5 separate regions of the Mus musculus genome follow, and all the other regions are reported to be linked to region 1. The links are microRNA targets in miRTarBase. Many come from high-throughput screens and were not tested one by one. Region 1 holds a microRNA gene; each other region holds the end of a gene's coding sequence.

Region 1 (4,119 bases):
CCCTAAGCTGACTGGCAAAGGAGAAAAACAAAGGAGAGGGACGCCATTTTGTTATGGAGAAGATTCAAAATTTAAAAGGCCGGGCAGATCTGCCGGTAGCTTTACTTAACACTGTAAGGCACTAAGTTAAAAAAACAAAAACAAAAAACAAACAGAAGCCATCCCTCTGACCACCACCCTCAACTTGACCTATCTTAAATCAGTTTAAGAGCCTATTACTGAAAATAAAATCAATTAATATACAATTTTCTGCGGGATAAGAATCTGAATTTGCAACTAAAATTCAACTTACTACCGCCGACCATCCCAATCCTCCCTACAAAAGCCAAGTGGTAGGACTTGGACCCCTCAACAAATAGGACCGAGGGGGGAGGACAGGAGAAAAATGGGTCAAGACACAACCTGCAACGCCGCTTGCAAGACAAAAGGACAAGCAAGGAAAAGTCGCCATATTTGAAGCAGGGAGGAAAAAAAAAATCTTTTAACGACACAATCTTCTAGAAAGATAGCATTCAAATGCACTAATGGCTTTTAAAATTATACTCCTGAGTTCCACATTTCCCAACCTTTCCACCCTCTTAGCTGTATCCACCACCCACTAAAAAAGTATCAAGTTAAAATGTTAATCACTTTTGCCTTTAAATAACCTATGCAAGCTGAAACAATCACAAGACATTCTTTACCTCCCCAAATGTTATTGTATGTACTTGTTACTATGATTTTTGCCCTAAATTTAAGTGTCTTGCAATCTTTATTCCTAGATTGCCACCTATTTTAACCACACAATATATCCCAAGCAAATTACATTAAAATAGAGAGGATTTAACAGTCACTTTAAAGACATAGCCAGCTAATATTTCTCTGCCCATCTCCTTACCCTGCAATCTTTATGTACAGATTGCTTATTAATCTGGCAAATTGAAAGGCGTTCTGCTTGTCTCACACACAAAGAAGTGGGACTTCTGGGCCACAAGATCCACCATCTTTTGTATGTGAGCTCATTAACCCTTTTGAAGACTGCTAACCAGAGGAAGGTAACCATTCCTCCTTATTATCGCAAAGGCTTATGCTCTGGCAGTCTGGAAATCTGCTGGATTATCAAGGGTTAACCGTCAAAATCCTCACTGGCTGGCCCTCCCTTCACCCTCTCCCTTGCCTGCTCCACAGCAGGGAAGAGGCAGGTGGTAGGGGAGAGAGAACAAAGACTGTTTAGACCCACAGGACCTTTAATGGAGATTTAAGAGACCCGATTGGTCCTTCTCTCCAGTACTCTACATTTGTTCTATGGTCTCATTTCTTCCTCTCATTATTTTTGGTTTCACAACGGGAAACGTTGATTTCTTGTTCAAGGCTGGTTTTTGAAAATTCGACACTTACTATCCAATTTTTTTGCGACGTCAGCACCTCGGGCTCAGGGGGGAGGGGTAAAATTTTGGAGGAAAAAAAATAAAGCAACCAACCAGGACCCAAACTCAGTTACTTGTGGGGCCTCATTGGATCAAAAAGTCTCTTTTAAAAAAAGTAAAGACCAACTCAGTTTTCATTTCCCCCCCGCCCAACTCCATTTAGGGAGAGGGGGTCGTTGAAAAAAAAAGTCTGAGTGGATTCCAAAACGGAAATGCTGGATGAGTGAGATTGGGTAGGTTTGGGCAGGGAAGGTGGTTGATTATTTTTGAAGTTATGTGGTGACGGTCCTTCGGCCACAGATCTCAAGTCCCAAGCAGCGTGGGCTGGTGGGGTGGGCAAGATAGGTGGGGAGGGGCAGAAGACACGAGTGGTTGGGCTGGTGGCTGATTTCCCTTTCCCCCCTCTCAGGATCCTTTCAAGGGTTTAGATGTTGCTGAGGCTTGTTTGTTTTCCTGATGGCCGGCCTGTCTTTCTCCGAGAAAATTCAACCTGGGGTAAAAGGAACACAAAAGGAGGAAGGTGTAATCAGTACGGGTCGCCTTTAAACGTTTCAAAGTTGTCGCAGGACGCAGCCGCATTAGGGAAAAACGTGGCTGCCCATTAAATCCGAAACCACCCCGTTCCCCCGGCCCGCTCTCGGCAAAACGTTACCCTCCAAAGCGACGGAGCACCCAAACTTACCTCTAAACGAACCCCAGAATGGCGGCCGCCCGCTCGGGCGGAGTCTTTTATACCCGGCCACCGCCCAACGCACCCTAACGTGATGGAGAACCGCCCTCGCCGGGACACATTGTGCGCGAGGCGAACTCTGATTGGCCAGCGTGCGAGCCGGGTCGCCCGCGGATTGGACGTCCCTCCTCCACCTTCCCGAAGCCCCCTTCCCTCGGTTCCCCTCTTCCGTCTCCTTGCTATCACCTCTACGCCAGCGCGTGATCGCCGCGTCCGGCACCTCCCTTTCCTCTGCCTCCACCACTTCCGCTCCGGCGACCCGGGGTCGCCCTCGGTTGGCCGAAACGGCCCGACGCATGCGCACTGGGAGCACCCTGGTTAAAATCGCAATCAAATCTGCTTTCATGTTAGACACTAACCATGGAATCTAGGATTCATCGTGACTGGTCCGGGAGAAATGCAATTTTGAAGGCTGGTTCGATTGTGACGCAGTTTAAATTCGCGTCTGTGGACCCCGCCCCTTGACGCTTCCGCCCTTAGACATGTGAGCAGCCGCCTTCCGCATTGCGGGGCGTGTCCTTGGCCCACCCTAGTGCGTGTCCCGAGCATGCGCAGTCGCTCTTCCGGCAGGCCGTACGTCCGGTGTGCGTCAAGATGGCTGCCCCCTTGCGGCACACGCTTCTAAAGCTGGTTCCTACACTCTTACGAAGTTCCTATGTAGCTCAGGTAAAACGTTGGAGGGGTTTTCTCTACCTCCCCGTGGTGTCTATACTTTCGATCTTCCTTCCATTAGGAGGAGTCAAGGGGCATGGGTTTTCCCACATGTCTACGTGTCAGCCCTGCACCAGCCTCCGTCCCCTACGGCGCGCGATTTCTAACTACCGAGCGTTCGGGTCAGAGCCAGGGTTACGGGTTATCATCGTCGTCTCCCGACTACCATTAGGCAAAAGAACTAAATGGTGGGGTTGCCCCTGTGGAAATGGGCAGTTTGTAACCAGGTCGTTGGTGCCTGAAGTGGCACCCAGGACGTGTTTGGTTTTTTTTTGTTGTTGTTGTTTTTTTTTTAGCAAAGGACCCTATTTTAAGGATTTTCCCCGGTGTTCGGGAGACAGCCCAGGTTGGTCTCATAGGTACTTTCTGAGCTTTCTACCTCTCCCTCCCAGATTATGGAATTAAAAGCAAGTACACTAGTCCTACTCCACCTCGTCACACGTCATTTCCCCATCAGAGCATGCTTGAGATCATTCTGCTCTCTGGATTGAGATTGCCCTTTAGCCTCAGGTACTCACCACCCTGGAGGTTCTCCGCAGGGCAGGGAGGAATAGGAAGGCTTGTCTCGACGCCACTCCCTAAAATGGGACTACAGAGTAGTGACAGAGGTTACCACCGAAGTAATAACAGGCTTGGTGGCTTTAAAGCTAGCGTTAGGACGCAAATTTGTTTTGCTCTGTGGAATGTTGACCTGCAGCATTTTAAGAAACTGATCAGCGCAGCGACTTTGGGGTTTTCTCATCTGTATGAATCATGCCCAGCTCTCCATTATTAATCTTTGTGTTTTCTTTTTATTTATTTATTTTTGGTATTTTGAGACGGGGTTTCTCTGTATAGCCCTGACTGTCCTGGAACTCACTTTGTAGACCAGGCTGGCCTTGAATTCAGAAATCCTCCTGCCTCTGCCTCTCTGCGGAGTGCTGGGACTAAAGGTGTGCGCCACCACGCCCAGCTTTCTTTTCTTTTTTTTTTTTTTTATTAAGAGATTTATTTATTATTATACATAAGTACACCGTAGTTGTCTTCAGACACACCAGAAGGGGTTGTCAGAGCTCATGGGTGGTTGTGAGCCACCTTGTGGTTGCTGGGATTGCTCTTACCCGCTGAGCCATCTTGACAGCCATTATCAATCTTATTTCCAAAAGTTTGGCATTTTTTTCACACCATAACCAACCAGTGCTCATCAAACGCAGATATTTGTATGCCAAGGTTTTTAAATTGTCACATCCCACTAACATCTTTTACCTTGTTGGCTTATCCTGCAGGGTCAGC
Region 2 (4,119 bases), not on the chromosome of region 1:
CATACAGATACCGAGGGGAAGGATGTCCCCTTGACTACATACACATATATGTCTCTATCCTTAAGAACAGCAATCAGAAGGTTAGCAATAATGTAAGGGACACCTTCTGATGGGCTTTTTGGGTAAGAAATAGACAGATAAGTCACTGCCAAATAACAGAAATTCATAATGATTGGTTGCTCAAGTAACCCAGTAAATGGCTGCTCAGAATTTACATTTAATTTCCTCATTGACTTTCTTGACATTGCATTTCACTAAACATGGACTAGGCCCACAACACTGCATCTCAGTGCTGGAGATGGGCAGGAAGGTGGGGTAGACTTTAAAACATGCGTGGTAACGAATATCAAGAGTTTTCTCTCAGTGACCTCTCCCCTGTCTGCTTCTTCCCACGACATTATAAAGTGTATTGTGCAAAATCATACATGCAGCAGCTAGGAGATTAGAAATGGCAAACATCTCTTTTTGGTCTTTTAATTTTTTTTAATGTATCATAGAGTCCCTGTAATTTAAGATTTATTTTGAGTCATTGCCCAGGATACATGTCTCCTTCTACCTGTTAACAGCTAAGATGACTCTTTTCAAATATTTGAATAGTCCAGCAACAGCAACCTTAAAAGATGTCCACTAGGCTGCAGAAGCACGGAGTTCTGGGTATCTTCCACATATGCACACTGATGGAACGGGTACAATGTGCATCCCAGTGTGCCTGGAAGGCTTCTCATGTGTCTGCTTCCAAAGGGAAAGAGCTTAAAAATAGAAATTATCTGGTAGAGAGTGAAGATTTAGAACATATTGCCAGATCTGGCACTCATGTTGCCTCTGTTTGCTTTGGGGGATATTTGAGGGCATACCTCAAAATCAGCAAAGCAATGAAGAGGTTTTTTTTTTTTTTTTATCATTTCCTTTCATTTGTCTTGAAATGTTTTTCACTAAAGAAGCAAAGAAATGCAGTGTTCACAGGATTCATTTAGAAAGGCCCCCTCCTGGCATACCCTCTGGGACTGTGAAGTCTTTGACAGTGTAAGTAAAGAACCAGGTAAGATAACACAACAGAGGAATCCAGCCCCTTTGGCCCTGTAGATAAGGATGACTTCTTAGGTTCTAACCTCTTATTTTTAATGCCCCTGATCCCTCCCTGCCTTTTTGTTTTTTTAAATCAAATTCAACTTGGTTAGTCTACTTTTGTGTTTTGGCTGCAAGAATATGTTATAAATATAACACACATGATAACTTTTAATGCCTTCTAACCTTTTACAATGAAGTCCATCAAAAACTCTAAAGAAATTATTCAAATGGTATGGAATAGGCAGGACAACCTTCCTTCCTTCCTTCCTTCCTTCCTTCCTTCCTTCCTTCCTTCCTTCCTTCTCCCCCTTCCTCTCTCCCTCCCTCCCATCCCCTCTCTCTCTGTTTCTCTTTTCCTTTCTTCTACAGAGAGCAAACCATTCAAACATAAAGTGACAACTGGGATAGGCTTGGAACAGTGCCTATCCATAATTAGGAAAGTCAACCTACGTTATTAGGTGAGCGCAGCATTTCCAAGTGCAGGATATCTGGCCCTATGTGTGGGACACTCAAACAAGCATAGGTAACATTCATGAACACTTCACTTGGGGAACTAAAACACATATAAGTGCAGGGAGATCAAAGTACTCAAAGTACATGTAAACACTTCAACACCTTATTTTTATTAGAAGTAATTCAACTGGCAGCACATTATCAGGACTAATCTGAATCTCAACAGGATGGTGTTACATTACCACTGCTATTCCTGCTTCCAGAATTACATTTGCCTATATTACTGCATGTGAGTCTTAAGTTTAAATAAAAGCTGATGTTCAACATCAAAATGCACACCCTTCAAGAGGACAAGTGTGGGGTCTGTAAACCCTTTGGCAAGAGTCAAAACAGACAGCCTAAACAGTTGCCAGCCTCAGAGAGAAATGGGAGAGGGGAATCTGGCAGCTCATTTTGATATTTCTGATGTGCTAGCAATGCTGGACATGCAGACTAAAGCCAGGGGTTGGATTTACTCACCGATATCCCACAAAACAAATTCTCTCTCTCTCTCTCTCTCTCTCTCTCTCTCTCTCTCTCTCTCTCTCTCTCTCTCTCTCTCTTTCTCTCTCAAAATAAAACAAAGTACGACCTAAATGTGTACCATCTTGAGATATAATGTATACACACCAGATCTAAAAGTGCTTCTACCAGGAAAATAGATCTGGACAAGTTACTGCTGAGTTAGCATAGAGAACAGAAGAACTGTGTGTTCTTAGATGTGAGAACTAACTACTGCCTAATGGGTTTCTCTGTTATAAGATACAATGGAAACTCACCTAAACCCTAGGAGTGAAATATATGTTAATAAAACCTGTTCCTGGCCCTTGCTTGTTTATAGGAGGTGGAATTAATTAAGAAAAATGTAGTATTTAAGTAGAATACACATCACTGTTTCCTAAAGCTCTGCCACGTGGTTATGACCTGGTTTTAGTTCTAATATGAGAAGGGACACCATATACGTTAGAAAAGCTAAAAGGCCCTCTTTTGTTTAATATTCCTTGATGTCTAGTACAGGTAAGTCCTAGAAATATAAACATTAGATGGAATTTTTATATCCTTTTCACTATTCTAAGATTTTAATGCCAGAAAAATCTTCAAGAATTACAATGACAATTTGGTAAATTAAAACAAACGAACAAACAAACAAACACACACAGAGCTCTTTCAGTATACTGGCCTTGCAGAGCCTTATCCATAATGCTTTAGGGACTTGCACTTGGCTTTTAAGTTCTAGCACATTGATAGGAGGGTGAACTGTACAGCAATGATTATGCGTTGGGTAGATTCAGCATTGCAAAGAACCCTGTCCCCTCAGTGTCACCAACTCCGGGGAATATAGTACTTCCCCGATTTATGAAAACTCCAGTCTACAGAGCAGCAACACACAGGGCTTGTTTCTCATCTAATAAAACAGAAGCAACTGGAACACCTCACAGCCAGGAATCAAGATGACTTTGAAGTACACACACACACAAAAAAACACAACTATTTATGCCTTGCGGCTATGTGAATACTATCCCTAAGAGACTTTAAATCTTTAATACTCAACTTCTGCCGAACACTTTGAAGCATAGAACTATATTTGAAAAGCGTGTGGCATTCAGGTTCTGACATTCATCCCAAGAAGGGAAAGCATAACAATAACACATCCTGAAATGCAAATTTCACAAAGTGCAAATGTCCATAGACAATGTCGATCTAGAAGCATGTTTTAAATCCAGTAGGTTCTCCTTTTACGAGACTGTTCTCTATATTAAATTTCCAAGCACAACCAATGACTTTTCCAATGTCTTTTCAATGTCTAGCTTGTGCCCTCTCATAAAAATCTGCTCATTGGTCCATACTGGAGTTTCCTAATTTTCTTAGTCATTAGCACAGAGTGTCTAGCCACATAGGGAGATCTCCTCGTCCTGTATTTCCCTATATGGAAACGTTTTACTTCACTATTGGAAGCGCATTGCCAGCTGTTAACAATGTCTTCTGTGCGAGCACAATGCAAATCTAAACAGCCCAATGGGAGGCACTGTCATGAAATTACAATGCTCCCAGACTGGAGTGGAGAAGCAGCGCACTCCCTTCAAACAATTTACCAAGTGGGCACTGGAAGGAGACACAGGAACAGAAGTCATCCAAAGAACACGGTACTTTTTTGTAAATATACTTTCTGATTGGTCCCTGGGCACAAGGAAGATGGCGGAATCATGTCTTCCCAGGAGAATGTCGCAGATGTCCAAGGTCCTTACACTGAGCTGGAGAATGGAACGACCTGCTTTCCACCCACATAAACCTCCTCAATATTTCGGTCGTCTCCTGAAATTAAAACCAAAGAATCATTTGTACTGTGCTTTTTTTTTTTGGGGGGGGGGGTCAATGATTGCCTTAGTTTCCTTTAGATTTTAAGAAAGAAAAATAAAAACCTTTAAAAGAAGAAACACAAGCCCCCAAAGGTAGAAACTTTATTCCTCCCAGATCATTTACAGTCTCCTGGAGATGACTTGGTCAAGACATCCTAGCCAGTTGAGAATTGGGGTCTCCATTCTGTATCGGAGGCGAAAA
Region 3 (4,119 bases), not on the chromosome of region 1:
GGGAGACTGTCCTATTTTAAGGCATTATTCATTACTTGAAAAATCAATTAAAAAGCTCTAGCGGAAGTATTCGCACTAATTCCCACAACCTGCTCCCTCCGCCCCACTAGAAACACAGAGCCGGAAGAGGAGGGGGTGAAGGCGAGCACGCAGAAGAGGGCTGGCCGGAAGAGGCGGGGCCTACAGGAGCGCCTTAGGGTCGCGCACGCTGGGCCACTTCCTTTCTCGGCAGCGCCGTAGAGCGCGAGCAGACGGTGCAGCATGGCGCACAGCGGAGGCCGCGGGCGGCCGAACCCGGCGTGTCCTTGGGCGTTTCCAGGTGCGAATCCTGCGGTCTGCTTAACCCCGTGTGTGCGGAGAGGGCTTCCTTGTTGGCGGCGTCCGTCTCTAGCCGGGTACGGGGGCCCCATGGCTCCCGGGTTCGGTGTGGCCCTTGGCCCGCTGTGAGCGGCGGGGCGCGTTCCCAATGGTCTCCAAATCTTAACCGAGATTAGTTATAAGGCCTGCTCCTCTGGACGCTTCGAAGTGCGGGCACAAGCGGCCGCTTCTGGCGGCAGCTTTCATCTGGGCCTGCACCCTGGCGGGAGCCCCTTTGTATCCCCAAGAAAAGCCACCATGCGGTCTGTTTCAGGCTTCCTAAGTGAGTAATCCATAGGAAATTTTACAGAGGCGGAAAAGTACTGCTTCTAAGATGTTAAGACCGCCAATTTTAGGCTTTTTTTTTTTTTTGGCTTTTTTTTTTTTTAAAGATTAATAGTTTGATCTGAAGTATTGGCATCACTCTAAAAAGCTTGTATTCATGGATCAACCCTGTAAGTACGATCTAAAGTTGGAGCAAAATTTTCAAACTATTTGAAAGCCACGCAGGGTGGGGATGCTGGCAAAAGAAGGTGGTGGTAAGTTCTGAAGCGTGTGGATACAAAAGAACACTACATTTCAGGCCTGCATGTTATACTTTACTGTTGGTATCTGTAAGCCAAATTGGGTACTCTGGATTTCTGTAAACTCAGCGTTTCAAATATGAAAATGATTAAGGATTTCTCATCGGTTTGCAGGTGATAAGTCATCACCAGTAATCGGTTCAATCATTCATTCTCTGATTTGTGACTCTGGCCATGCCGTTTCCTGTTCTAATGTCCCAGTGATGGTCTGCACAATTGCATATATGCCTCAAGCTTTTCCGTGCAAGCACCAAGACTGAGAAGCCAAGGCTTGGTACTCAGTCCTTTAAGTTAGTACTGGCAGTGAAGGGCGTGAGTAAAATGTTTTTCTGTCTGTGATGGACGGATGATGGGACAGGAACTGAAGCACCACAGGAACCTGGAGTTAGCGGATGCCGAAGCCATGGAGGATGCTATTAGCTTACGCTTTGGTTCTTAGAGAACACAGGGCCTCCAGCCCAGGGGAGGTGGCTGCCCCCTTACCCCAGTCACTGATTATGAAAATGCCTTACAGGCGTGCTTGTCCACAGCCCTATCTTAAGGATGCATTTTTACAATTGTAGCTTCCTACACCAGTGATTAGCTTGTGTCAAGGTGACATAAAAGTAGCCAGTGCACACTCATGCAAGGTATTAAAACATGGAAGTAAAATGAGAGTTCACAAATATTTTAATTTTTAGGTGCAACAAAACCTGCTCATTTGAAGGTGCTTGAACAAATATTTTCTAAACACTTGTCATGGAGAGTGATTGAAACAAGCTGCCAGGACTACATTTGCCAATAACAAGGTACAAATTGTGTGTGTGGTTTTTTTTTTTCTTTGAGGTTTGATTAACAGGGCCTTAATAGCTGGCACAATGATGACTTAAGTTTTTGCCGTTTACCCAGCTGAGTGTTTCTTTGAAGAGAGAATCTTAAAAGACTGAGATGCCAGCAGTATATAGATGATGCAAATGACTAACATGTGACGCCATTGTTAAAATGGGTTACTGTTTGTTCTCCCCAGCATGTAGGTGGCTGTAGTGGATGTCCAACTTTGGGAGCTGTGATGTCTAAAAACCCTTTATTGTTTTGGGTAAGTTTGCTTAATCAGTCATGTATCTGGATTCAATACTGTTTGATAACACTGAGGGGCTGGGGCCAGTTCGTTTTGAAGATCATTAGGGTGAACACCTGGGCCTAGTTTGAGATGGAAGAAAAATGATTTGGGGTTTCTGACTTTTTTTTTTTCCTTTTGGGAAGGTGCAGCTTACATATTGGAAGGTAAAATGAAGGCCATGAACAAAGTCAAGAAGCCATAAACAGAAGCAAATGGTGAAAATTAATATCTAATTTAATATTAATAAGTTATATATAAATAAACAGTTATTCTTAATTGCTGTGGGCAGTAATTTCTTTAAAATGTCATTCTCGTAGTAAAATAAACTCGTCTTTCATGAGCTGCGGACTTTTTGTCAATGCAATCCTGATGGCTGGCTAGTAAGTAGCCAGTAATGCACAGCAGGAAAGAAAGTGATTGGCAATCTGTCTAGGATCACTTGAAACTCTCAAACTGGATTTCCTCGAGTGAAGACTTGGCTAAATCTTTAACCAATAGAATCCCTAAGTTTAGTAAGTAGCTTAAAAATTCAACATTCTGATGACTTGGGCCTTTGTAAGGGCTGGGGAAGTTTAACTGGCTTAACAAGGCACAAAGCTCTGGATTTGATTCCCAGGATAGAAATTTCGAACATTAGGCTTTCCAGGTGTGTTGGCTGTTTAGATAAGAATTGTTTTGTTTTTACCCTAGAGACCTAGACTTAACCACATCATATGAAAAGGCACAAGGCAAGTCTTGTTTGTATGTACTATATCATTAACTTGCTGTTCAGATCAAGTACCAAAATACAAGGTGCTGTGGGACCCTGTAGTACCTACCACCTCCTGGCAGGAAGACGACTTGACCCCAGGAATGTTGTCTTTAGTGTCACTTTGGTTGTATCCAGCAGAAGGCATATATAAGATTTTCACAGCTTTCCTTAACTCTCCACATTTAGCTTTATAAAGCTATATGCCCATAATGCACATGTTAAATAAAGAAAAGCCTTACATAGGCACTTTGGGTCATTAAGTTGCACTGACTTGAACTCATCACTGGTAATTAATGAGCTCAAGCTGGGTATGTTGGTAGGTAAAGTGTTGCTACCTGATGGGTGGAATGAACAAAACCTTTTTCACACTACAATGTTCTCTACTGTGTGTGTGTCCATGATATATATACTGGAGTTTTTGATGTCAAGCTCCTTGGTAACATAATTTCTGTTCTTGGTTTAGATGTTGGGTTAGTTGCAAATTTGTAATTATGAAGGGGCCACATTTCATACTCTAAATGACATTCTAACAAATAACCTTGAGATGATACATAGTCTGAACCATTACTCTGAAATCATACATTTACCAAGGCTTATGGGGCATGAAAGGTAATTTTTCCTTTTTTTTTATTAGGTACTTTCTTCATTTACATTTCCAAAGCTATCCCAAAAGTCCCCCATGCCCTCTCCCCCTTCCCCCCTCCCACTTCTTGGCCCTGGCGTTCCCCTGTACTGAGGCATATAAAGTTTACAAGACCAATGGGCCTCTCTTTCCACTGATGGCCAACTAGGCCATCTTCTGCTACATATGCAGCCAGAGACACGAGCTCCTGGGGGTACTGGTTAGTTCATATTGTTGTTCCACCTATAGGGTTGCAGACCCCTTCAGCTCCTTGGGTACTTTCTCTAGCTCCTCCATTGGGGGCCCTGTGTTCCATCCTATAGCTGACTGTGAACATCCACTTCTGTGTTTGCTAGGCCCGAAAGGTAATTCTTAAATTGCTTATTCATCACTAGAAAAGACAGTTGTCCCAGGTCCACATGTGGCAATAAACTGTTGGAGCTGCTGTTGGCACTGAGTCAGGTAGAGATCTCTTTGCTCTAAATATTCTTCATTATACAGCTCAAATGGAAATAATGCATTGGGAGCAACACAAAATGGAGTGGCCCCTAAATGAAGAACAAAATAGTGTAAATGAGACTTTAAAAATGGAGGTATGTTTCAACAAAATGAGGATTTAAAAGTTAACTACTGAATATTGAGTTTCATCATAGTTTTATTTTGAGTAGTCTTGGCTGGCTTGTGTCTACCTCTGAGCACTGATTAT
Region 4 (4,119 bases), not on the chromosome of region 1:
AAGCACCCAAACTCACTCGCAGCACCAAGGGCACTGTCTCAGGCAGATGCCCAGGAGCCAAAGGCTCTTAAGAGAATGTACTCTAGTCATGCTCATGTAGGGGGTGGGAACCTCCATCTGGGGATACACACCAGGCTTCTCTGTCACACCCAACAGTAGTGTCCCAGATGGGAGACCAGCCAGTGTTTTGCCTTTTCAAGTTTTTATTTTTATACATTTTTTTTGTATTAAAAAGAAAAGCATAATAATTACCACCAATTACAAAGGACTAGAGCAGGACCAGAATAATGAATGAATCACTTCAGCCTGGGAAGCAGACACTCTCAATAATATTAATGTTATAATACAAGCTCATTCAAGTATTTTACATTTTTCTTGTCCTGTTGATGTGATATCCTAGCACATGGTAAAGACAATATATGAGCGTAGGTGGAACCTTCTCTGCAAAGCCCATGAGAGTTTTCCTTTCCTGTGAGAACTGGGCTCAAAGTTTTCTTCTGCCTCTGCCGTAACCATGGCTGGAGGAGAGGGTGGGAGCTGGGGAAAACCTAGGGGCCCTGTGACAAGAGACTCTGGGGTCCCATCCAGGGGACAGGGGAACCCAAGCCTCTAGCACTCCCCACCATTAGCCTTGTCCTCAATGCCCTTTCCCTCATGTCCAGACCTTCCAAGCAGCTTGCCTTCTTTTGTAAATGTCATCAAAAAGGAGTGGGAAGGAGCTACAGAACAAAAACATTGAACAACTTGACCCGGGGCTCAGCACCTGTCTGAACCTGCGGTCCAGGCTGGAGCAGGGCCAGGCAGCCTTCCCTCCGAGTAGCAAATCTGCTCTGAGGCTCACAGGTTTGCAAACCACCATCTGCCCCTTGCTGGGGCCAGGTGGATGTCTAACCCTGCACAGGCAGAGGATGAAGGCGGTTCCATTTGGCAGGCTGTCTGTCTTAGGTCTTGGATTCCATGGGAAGATGGTGATGGGGAAGTGGCTTGCTCTGGTGCCCCACCCCCACTCCTGGCATACTTGTCACAGATACATCGGTCCTAAATTCAAGTGTCTTCAGAAGGTGAAGATGTAAACTACTCCGCAACATCAACTCTTAACATGTCACAAAAAATACACACACACACACACACACACACACACACACACACACTCCCACCCCTCCTCAGCCTGTGTTGAGATGATAGCCTTGCCTTCCCACCCCAGAGGGGCTTCTTCCCTCAGAGGGTCTGGGAGGATCTGGGAGAGAATGGCAACCCTAGTCTGGATAGCCTAGATGGAAACCACCTTCCCTGATGCTGGGCCTCAAGCCCTGAGGTTCTGTGGTGCTGGATATACAGTAGAGGGCTGAGTGAGGAGAGGAGAGGAGAAAGGGAAGCAGGGAGCCCACTGTTTGGTGAAGGTGCACCATAGGGCAGGTACCAGACTTAGGAGAAGGCCTCAGATCCCAGCAGCAGATGATCCTGTTCCCTTATTTGTTTGCGACAAGTGAGTCACAGGAGCTGACAAGGGATTCCCACATCCTAAGCACCGGGAGGACAGAGTGGGGCAAGGCATGAGCTCAAAGTAACAAGGTGCCCAAAGACAGAAGGCAAGCTCTTGTCAGCCTGGGATGCTGTGTCCCAGTCCCAACTTTTGGGACAATAGAGGAACTGGGCGATGAGGAGGGTCACACAAATTTCAGTTAAGCTAGCAAAAAGACCACACCCCCTTGTGCCACCTAGGTCCAAGTGTAGGGTTAGCATGAAGTCTCCCAGCCTGTGTGCTCAGTCCTTCATTACCCTCCTCAGCTCCTGGTGACAGCAGCCTCCAGCCACTCCTCTGGCATCTCAAGTGCAGCTCAGGCAGTCTGGCTTTTGAAGAGAAGTCAGGTATACTCTATGTCCACATATACCTTCCTGCCATGGGGCTTCACCAAACGGTAGGATTCCCCAGCCCTTGGTTCCTCTCACCCCCTTGATCCCAGGCAGGGCCAATGAGAGGGTGGGCAGAGATGGCTTGCAGGGGGTGGTGGTAATAAGATGGAAAGACAACACCAGACCCTTAGAGAATGGTACCTTTTCTCCACCTCCTTGAGGTCAAAGGTCGTTAAGGTTAGACACAGACCTAAGCTGTGGACATCAGTGGGTGTTCAACCCCTTGTTCTGGAGTTGGGGAGATGTGCACACTGAGGACAAGTGTGTACCAGGCAAGACCAATTATGTTTACAACAGTCTGAAGCAAACTTGGCCTTGGGGTTTCCCAGGGCTTGGCTGGGCGGGGCGGGGCGGAGCAGAGCTGAGTGGGCCTGGAGAGGCGACAGCAAGCACAACAAGGACAGTGGCAACAGTGTGCAGACACAGGACATTGGCTTCAGACAATGCAACAGCAGGGGTGTCCTGGGCACAGCTCTGATAGAACTGCCCCAACTCTTGCCTCCAGGTAGGAGGCCCCGTACATGCAACTCAGTCTCGAGGAAAGTTCTAGTCAGTCCAAGTCCAGGGACATCCCGGGCAGGTGGAGCTCTTCCGGAGGCTCAAGGAAAACAGGCATTTGGGCATTAGTTCAGGTTCCCGCTCCACAATAAGGCAACTTTTAAAAAAATATTATTTCCAAAAACAGAACAGAAGAAAAATTCCAAGGAGGGGGAAAGACATCACTTTCTATGGAGTAGGTGGGCTCTGGTTTTTTGTCTTTTTTTTTTTTTTAAAGTGGTCGATTTTGTCTTTTTTTTTTCTTTCTTCTTTCTTTCTTTTTTATTTTCGTTTTTGTTTTTTTTTTGTTTTTTTGTTTTGTTTTTCTGTTTTCCCAAGGATGGAAAGGTCAGAGAAAAAATAAAATGAATCATCTTTCAATAGTCTCTTCTGGTGTGAGCAGCGTCTCTGGGGTGGGGCGAGGGGGCGAGGGGAGAGGCTGAAGCTCCCACCCCCACTGAGATCCTTTGGTTTCCTTCCCCCAGAGGTGGCAGAAGGGCATGTGGAACAGCAGGGACACGGTGATGGCAAACCCCAGGTGATCAAGGGGCTGGTGCTTCTGGGGCCCATGGGCACCGCCAGAGCCTTCTGGTGGGCTGCATAGTTGGCTTGAGGGAAGCGGGAAGAGGCAGGGGAGACAGGTCGGCATAATAGCCGCAGGAAGGGCTAAAGAGTGATTTTGGTAATCCAGACAAACTATCAATAATTTAAAACTTGATATATATATATGTATATATATATATATATATATATAAAATCTCCCCCCTTCCCCTCCCCCCTTAGAAGTTATGATGGAAGTCATGGTGACAGGAGGGATGGGGTACTTGGAGGCTCCTGCCCAGGAGCACCGCTAATAGCCCAAATGGTATACACTGCTACTTAGCGCAAAGGCCCATTCTTAGTACTCTAGGTCTGTCCCTTCTCTTGTTCGCTCTTCTGGGCACCCCACAGATCCTCAACCACCCCACCCCTCTATCACAAACCCCAGGGGGCTTCAGGCCATTCACTTTCGCAAAGTCAGTGTGTCCGAGTGCTGGCTTGTCCATTTGGCATCTTCTCGAGTGGCCTGGCCAGTAGGTGTCGTAGGGGGTTGGCTGATCCCAGTGGCAGGCCTGCTGGAAGACTGGGAAGGGCACCGCTTCCTGCCCTCTCCGCTGCCTCCTGCTACCACTGGGTGTCGCTTGTGGTTGCCTTCCTCGCCCATGGGGGGCTGTAACAGAGGAGTCACAAGTGGTCAGAGAACACTAGCCACACCACTTTCCAGAACCAATCAGGTCTCCGTTCCATCTCCAAATGAGGACAATGGTTTGATTTACATCCTGTCCTTTCATGTGGACAGTACCAGAAATAAGGAAACGGACCAAACACATAATTTGTCAAAGGCTTCCTATATTTAGGTCCATATCCTTAAAGACCAGAGTTTGACCCTATAAATTTTTGTCCCCTTCTACAAAGGGTCTCTTAGGAAAAGACCTGTGGTGTGTGGAATGCTACATGGTGCATGTATTGGCTCCACAGGGAACTGTCTTATTCCAGCCTTCACCAGGCCCGTGAGCCAACAATGAAGACTGTGATTCAGCTTGCCCTACTATCACCAAATGCCACCCAAACTATTTTCCAGGTACTAAGTTCCAGCCATTGGTCCTTAGCACACATCTCCTCCCCAGA
Region 5 (4,119 bases), not on the chromosome of region 1:
GAGCTATACTTAAACATAAGACTTACAGCCTCAGGCATGGAGGTTGGATGTGTAAGCATGCAGGCACAACACAGTACTAGTCAGCGCTTCATCACTATAACACAATACTGGACATAATCAACTTACAAACAGAAAGGTTTGTGTTGGCTCACAGCTTAGAAGTTTCCAGTCCGTGATCATTTGGTTCCATGCCTTTGAGCCTGTGGCAAGGCACTAACTACATCATACCAGAACAAAACCATTCACTTCATCACCAGGAAGCAAAAGAGAATGAGGAGATCCCACAAGCCTCTTCAAAGACACACCTTCAACCACTAAAAGACATCTCAGCAGCCCACATTTCTTAAAGCTTTACTCTTGGGACTCCTCTATTCTCGCCTATTTCTCATAACTCAACTCAGAGATCAAACCACTTTAACGTGAAAAGGCACCTTCAGGACTTTGGCTGTCAGGAACGTAACACAGAAACAACCCACATGGTCACATCACTGAAGAAGCTTACCGAAGGGAAACAGACCACTTACATTGTTATTTCACAGTATTAGACACAACCAAAAATCCCGTTTCAACATCTTAACCTTGAGACTAGGTAAGGGGTCACCAGCTCCTTGCTGTCTGCCACGTGGATGTCTCTGGTAGGCAGGAAGGTGCAGCTTCATTTCTCACAGGGCCCTAATGGTACATGGTACGTGAGCTGGCCTACGTGCTGCCTACACTTTAAAAAGATGTACATTCAATGAATCTAGAATACGTGGAAGGCCTGTGTTCGAAGCTGAATTGTCTTGGCAGCTTTCAGACTCTCAGACTTGATGGCCCAGTTTTGTAGATAATATTTTGGCTCAACACTTTGGGTAACCTGAACTTAATTCAAACCTATAGACTGCATCTGGCCAAAAACCCCAACCAAAAAAACCCTACAGCTCCTCCTGGGTTCCTACAATAGATATTGAGACTTGAAGATAGAAAGATCCAGACCGGGCCAAAATGGTAACAGATTAAAAACAATGGAGAGCTTTGCTTTAGCAGTCACAGGAGACAATGTACCTGCTGGAGAATACGATTTTTGTCTCAACCTTACAAATTCAACTTTGCTAAAGATGGAGGACTCTGGGAGATTACAAAGGGATCAGCCTGTGAAGTTTACCGAGGCCTTCAGGTATGTTATGAGGGGAATGAGGTCAAACTGTCATCAGCATAAGCTAGTGGACTTTATTATGAATTTACCTAACATCAACAGCATAGGTAGAGCATAGGTAGGCTCTAGAGAATGTCCCTTTAGTTGGGCTGTCACCACCAATCAGTTAAGAACTCAATAGTCCTCTGATTCCACTAATGTCCTAGACAGACAACAGTCTGGAGAAGTATTCTGCTAACCAGCTGCTCCTCCCTTGAGCCATGCAAGTCCATCCATCAGATGACCACTCCATCCCATCAATTCCTCCAGCACGGTCACAGAGCCTCTCTCTACTCAACTGCACTTAACATTTTTGGCCTACATACCCTCTTTTGTATGTACTAAGAACCATAGTGATGCCATTACCATAATATTCCAATATCTTTAGCTGGTCTGATTTCTCTGTCTTCTCTCGACACTTTCTGTCTGTGCTTCCAAATGCTGTATCTAAGATTGTTCTATGCCAACTCTATAAGTGTGCCAGTATGTGTATCTGTGTGGGAATAGTTCCATGGTTTTCAAGGGAAATACACAGAACATATAACCAGGCAGAGTATTTGGGGTTCACATTGGTCAAGGGTTTGTAGAGCGACTTCTGGAAAAAGTAGCTCTGAGGACTGTGGGATCATAACTACTATTGGGCCACTGATTGTGACCAACTGTGTCACCCATTACACAGAGAGGCAGGCAAGGTGGCAGTTACCCCTCTCTTCAAGTGGACTCACATGTACTATTCTGTAAGTAAAAGGAAGAGAGAGAGATGCTGGAGGCCCAGAGTTTCTCATACAATGTGGAATGTTCTCCAAAGGAGGGGCCTGAGTGTTAGACATTTTGCTAGATGGCAGAAAACAAAACACCAGACACAGAAGCATCTAATAGCACTAACCAGATGTCCACATATCTGTAGGAAGAGACCTCCTAGGTCTCTTATAGACAGTGGATCTCTTTCCTGATGGATGTCCTGAACATTACAGCAAGTTGGGGGAAGAGGAACCGCCACTAAGAAACAGAATGTCATGCTGAGCAAGTGTGGTCTTGCTTTCAGCAGACTTAGCAGAATCTAAGTTACATCCATATTAAACCCATTCCTAGGAACATATTTCTTTGATCCTTTGTAGGAAAGAAAGAGCCAGTCTGTAACGCTGTCATGCAAGTAGAACTGTTTCCAGTCATCTGTCTGCTGTGGGTGAGGGGTCACCACCAGGCAGGGAATACTGCTGGGCAGAGGGGGAAGAGCCCAGAGATGGGCTGAGTCCAGTTTGAGGGAGCACAAGACAGGTTCATCCCATTCTGGATCCTGGGAAGAGACTTTTCAGATACACTGTCTGCTCTCTGCTAAGGAAAGGACATAGCCGTTCTGCTATGAATTCTTACAAATTATTTAATTAAGCTATATTATAGGGAAGGATATATACGTGCTATGTACTTTTATGTTATCCTCCTTGTGTACATATACATATGTGATTATATAATGTTGTACCACCTCTACACAGACATGGCTGGTTCTAAGGATGAAACAGTGGTTTAAGAACCTGGATGAGAACTTTATTATATAGTACTTTATACTTTTGGCTTTAAACCACAAGTGTTATTATCTATGGAAAGATAAATTAATAACCAGGCTGGGAATGTAGTTCAGTTGGTAGAGTATTTGGTTAGCATGCATGAAGCCTTGGGTTCAATCCCCTGTACCACATAAAATCCAATGTGGTACAAGTCTGTAATCCCAGCACTTAGAAGGTGGAGGCGGCAGGATCACAAGTTCAAGGTCATCCTCAGCCACATAACAAGTTCAAGGACAAGACACATGAGACCCTGTCTCAAAACAACAATAAAGAAGAACAAAAAATCAAAAACCAAATTTCAAAATTATCAATAAAATATTTTTAAAAATCTGGACATGGTGGCACATGCCTTTAATGCCAGCATTTGGGAGGCAGAGACAGCCTGTGTGTTTAAGGCCAGCCTGGTCTACATAGCAAATTTCTAGGCCAGCCATGTCTATATAGTCTCAGAAAAAAAAAGGGAAAACAAAACAACAAAACAGAAAATAAAACACAAAACTTTCATTTTATCATACTCTAAGGTATAGGTGGTATTGGGTAGTTATACCACCTTAAAAAAAAAAAAGCTGTGTTTGTTTGTCACAACCTGTAATCTCAGCTACTTCGGAGGCTGCGGCAGGAAGATCCCACGTTGTTCAAGGCCTGTCTATGCTATAGGGGGAGTTCAAGGCCAGCTTGAGCAACTTTATGAGATCTTATTTCAAAATGAAGAAAGCTGGGGATATAGCCCAGTGGTACAATGCTTGCCTTAGCATCTGCAAGGCTCAATCTCTCTCTCTCACACACAAACACACACACACACACACACACACACACACACACACACTCCTCTCTCTCTTCTCCCTCCCTTACATACTCTCCCTTCTCTCTCTCTCTCTCTCTCTCATACACACACACACACACACACACACACACACACACACACACACACACAGTCTTATGAGTTCTTTTCAACCGTAATTCTTACACTTAAATACGCATTCCAAACTAAGCCCAGCTGTAGCTGGGCAGTCTCTGCAGCCTCCTGACCCCTCAGATCTAACTGTCACCTAGGATGCGGTTCCCAGGTGGAGAAAGTTGGTCCTCCAGACCTTGGGTGAACTTAGCGGCAAAGAGAGAAGAGGTGAGGTCATCTCCCATCTCCAGAGCGATGTCATATGCTGTCTGGCCTCTTGTGTTCTTCTTTTGGGCGTTTGCATTGCATCTGCGAAGGAAGTGGAGACACAATCACTCAGGCGTATGACCCTCAGAACTTGACCCTTCCTTGCCTAGAAGCCAATGTACCCCATAAAAGCCCCTAAAAAGACACTATGGCTTCAACTCTCAGAGTGACTCTACTTGTTGGGGTATACTATGTAAAAATGTGTCTCTGTCTTTCCT

The links. Region 1 holds the annotated microRNA mmu-miR-1894-5p (CUCUCCCCUACCACCUGCCUCU, at 1,174-1,195, opposite strand). A microRNA usually pairs through its seed, bases 2 to 8, with sites in the 3' UTR of a target mRNA and lowers its output. Matches are read on the target gene's strand: a 7mer-m8 pairs with bases 2 to 8, a 7mer-A1 pairs with bases 2 to 7 and ends in A, and an 8mer does both.
Region 2: the mRNA of Gda is a reported target of mmu-miR-1894-5p. Seed matches in the 3' UTR shown: 8mer at 1,369-1,376 and 7mer-m8 at 370-376.
Region 3: the mRNA of Mcmdc2 is a reported target of mmu-miR-1894-5p. Seed matches in the 3' UTR shown: 7mer-m8 at 3,477-3,483.
Region 4: the mRNA of Larp1 is a reported target of mmu-miR-1894-5p. Seed matches in the 3' UTR shown: 7mer-m8 at 3,209-3,215.
Region 5: the mRNA of Dzank1 is a reported target of mmu-miR-1894-5p. Seed matches in the 3' UTR shown: 7mer-A1 at 3,577-3,583.

Annotation. Positions count from the first base shown.
Region 1 is chr17:35,914,975-35,919,093 of GRCm38, reverse strand. Mir1894 (microRNA 1894) reads right to left here and starts at 1,205; the gene lies at 1,125-1,205. Mrps18b (mitochondrial ribosomal protein S18B) reads left to right here and starts at 2,654. Exons shown (of 7, transcript NM_025878.2): 1 at 2,654-2,802. The coding sequence starts at 2,731. It overlaps Ppp1r10 (protein phosphatase 1, regulatory subunit 10), which reads right to left and starts at 1,898. Exons shown (of 19, transcript NM_001163818.1): 1 at 1,378-1,898.
Region 2 is chr19:21,391,386-21,395,504 of GRCm38, forward strand. Gda (guanine deaminase) reads right to left here. Exons shown (of 14, transcript NM_010266.2): 14 at 1-3,873. The coding sequence ends at 3,803. Among named protein-coding and RNA genes, the nearest start is that of Gda, 79 kb to the right of the region's middle.
Region 3 is chr1:9,940,220-9,944,338 of GRCm38, reverse strand. It overlaps Mcmdc2 (minichromosome maintenance domain containing 2), which reads right to left. Exons shown (of 15, transcript NM_177722.3): 15 at 3,385-3,961. The coding sequence ends at 3,795. It overlaps Snhg6 (small nucleolar RNA host gene 6), which reads left to right and starts at 221. Exons shown (of 4, transcript NR_024067.2): 1 at 221-319; 2 at 1,622-1,729; 3 at 1,948-2,016; 4 at 2,184-2,314. Snord87 (small nucleolar RNA, C/D box 87) reads left to right here and starts at 1,796; the gene lies at 1,796-1,869.
Region 4 is chr11:58,058,101-58,062,219 of GRCm38, reverse strand. Larp1 (La ribonucleoprotein domain family, member 1) reads right to left here. Exons shown (of 19, transcript NM_028451.1): 19 at 186-3,661. The coding sequence ends at 3,455. Among named protein-coding and RNA genes, the nearest start is that of Gm51897, 32 kb to the right of the region's middle.
Region 5 is chr2:144,471,147-144,475,265 of GRCm38, forward strand. It overlaps Dzank1 (double zinc ribbon and ankyrin repeat domains 1), which reads right to left. Exons shown (of 21, transcript NM_172859.3): 21 at 1-3,943. The coding sequence ends at 3,778. Among named protein-coding and RNA genes, the nearest start is that of Gm46768, 53 kb to the left of the region's middle.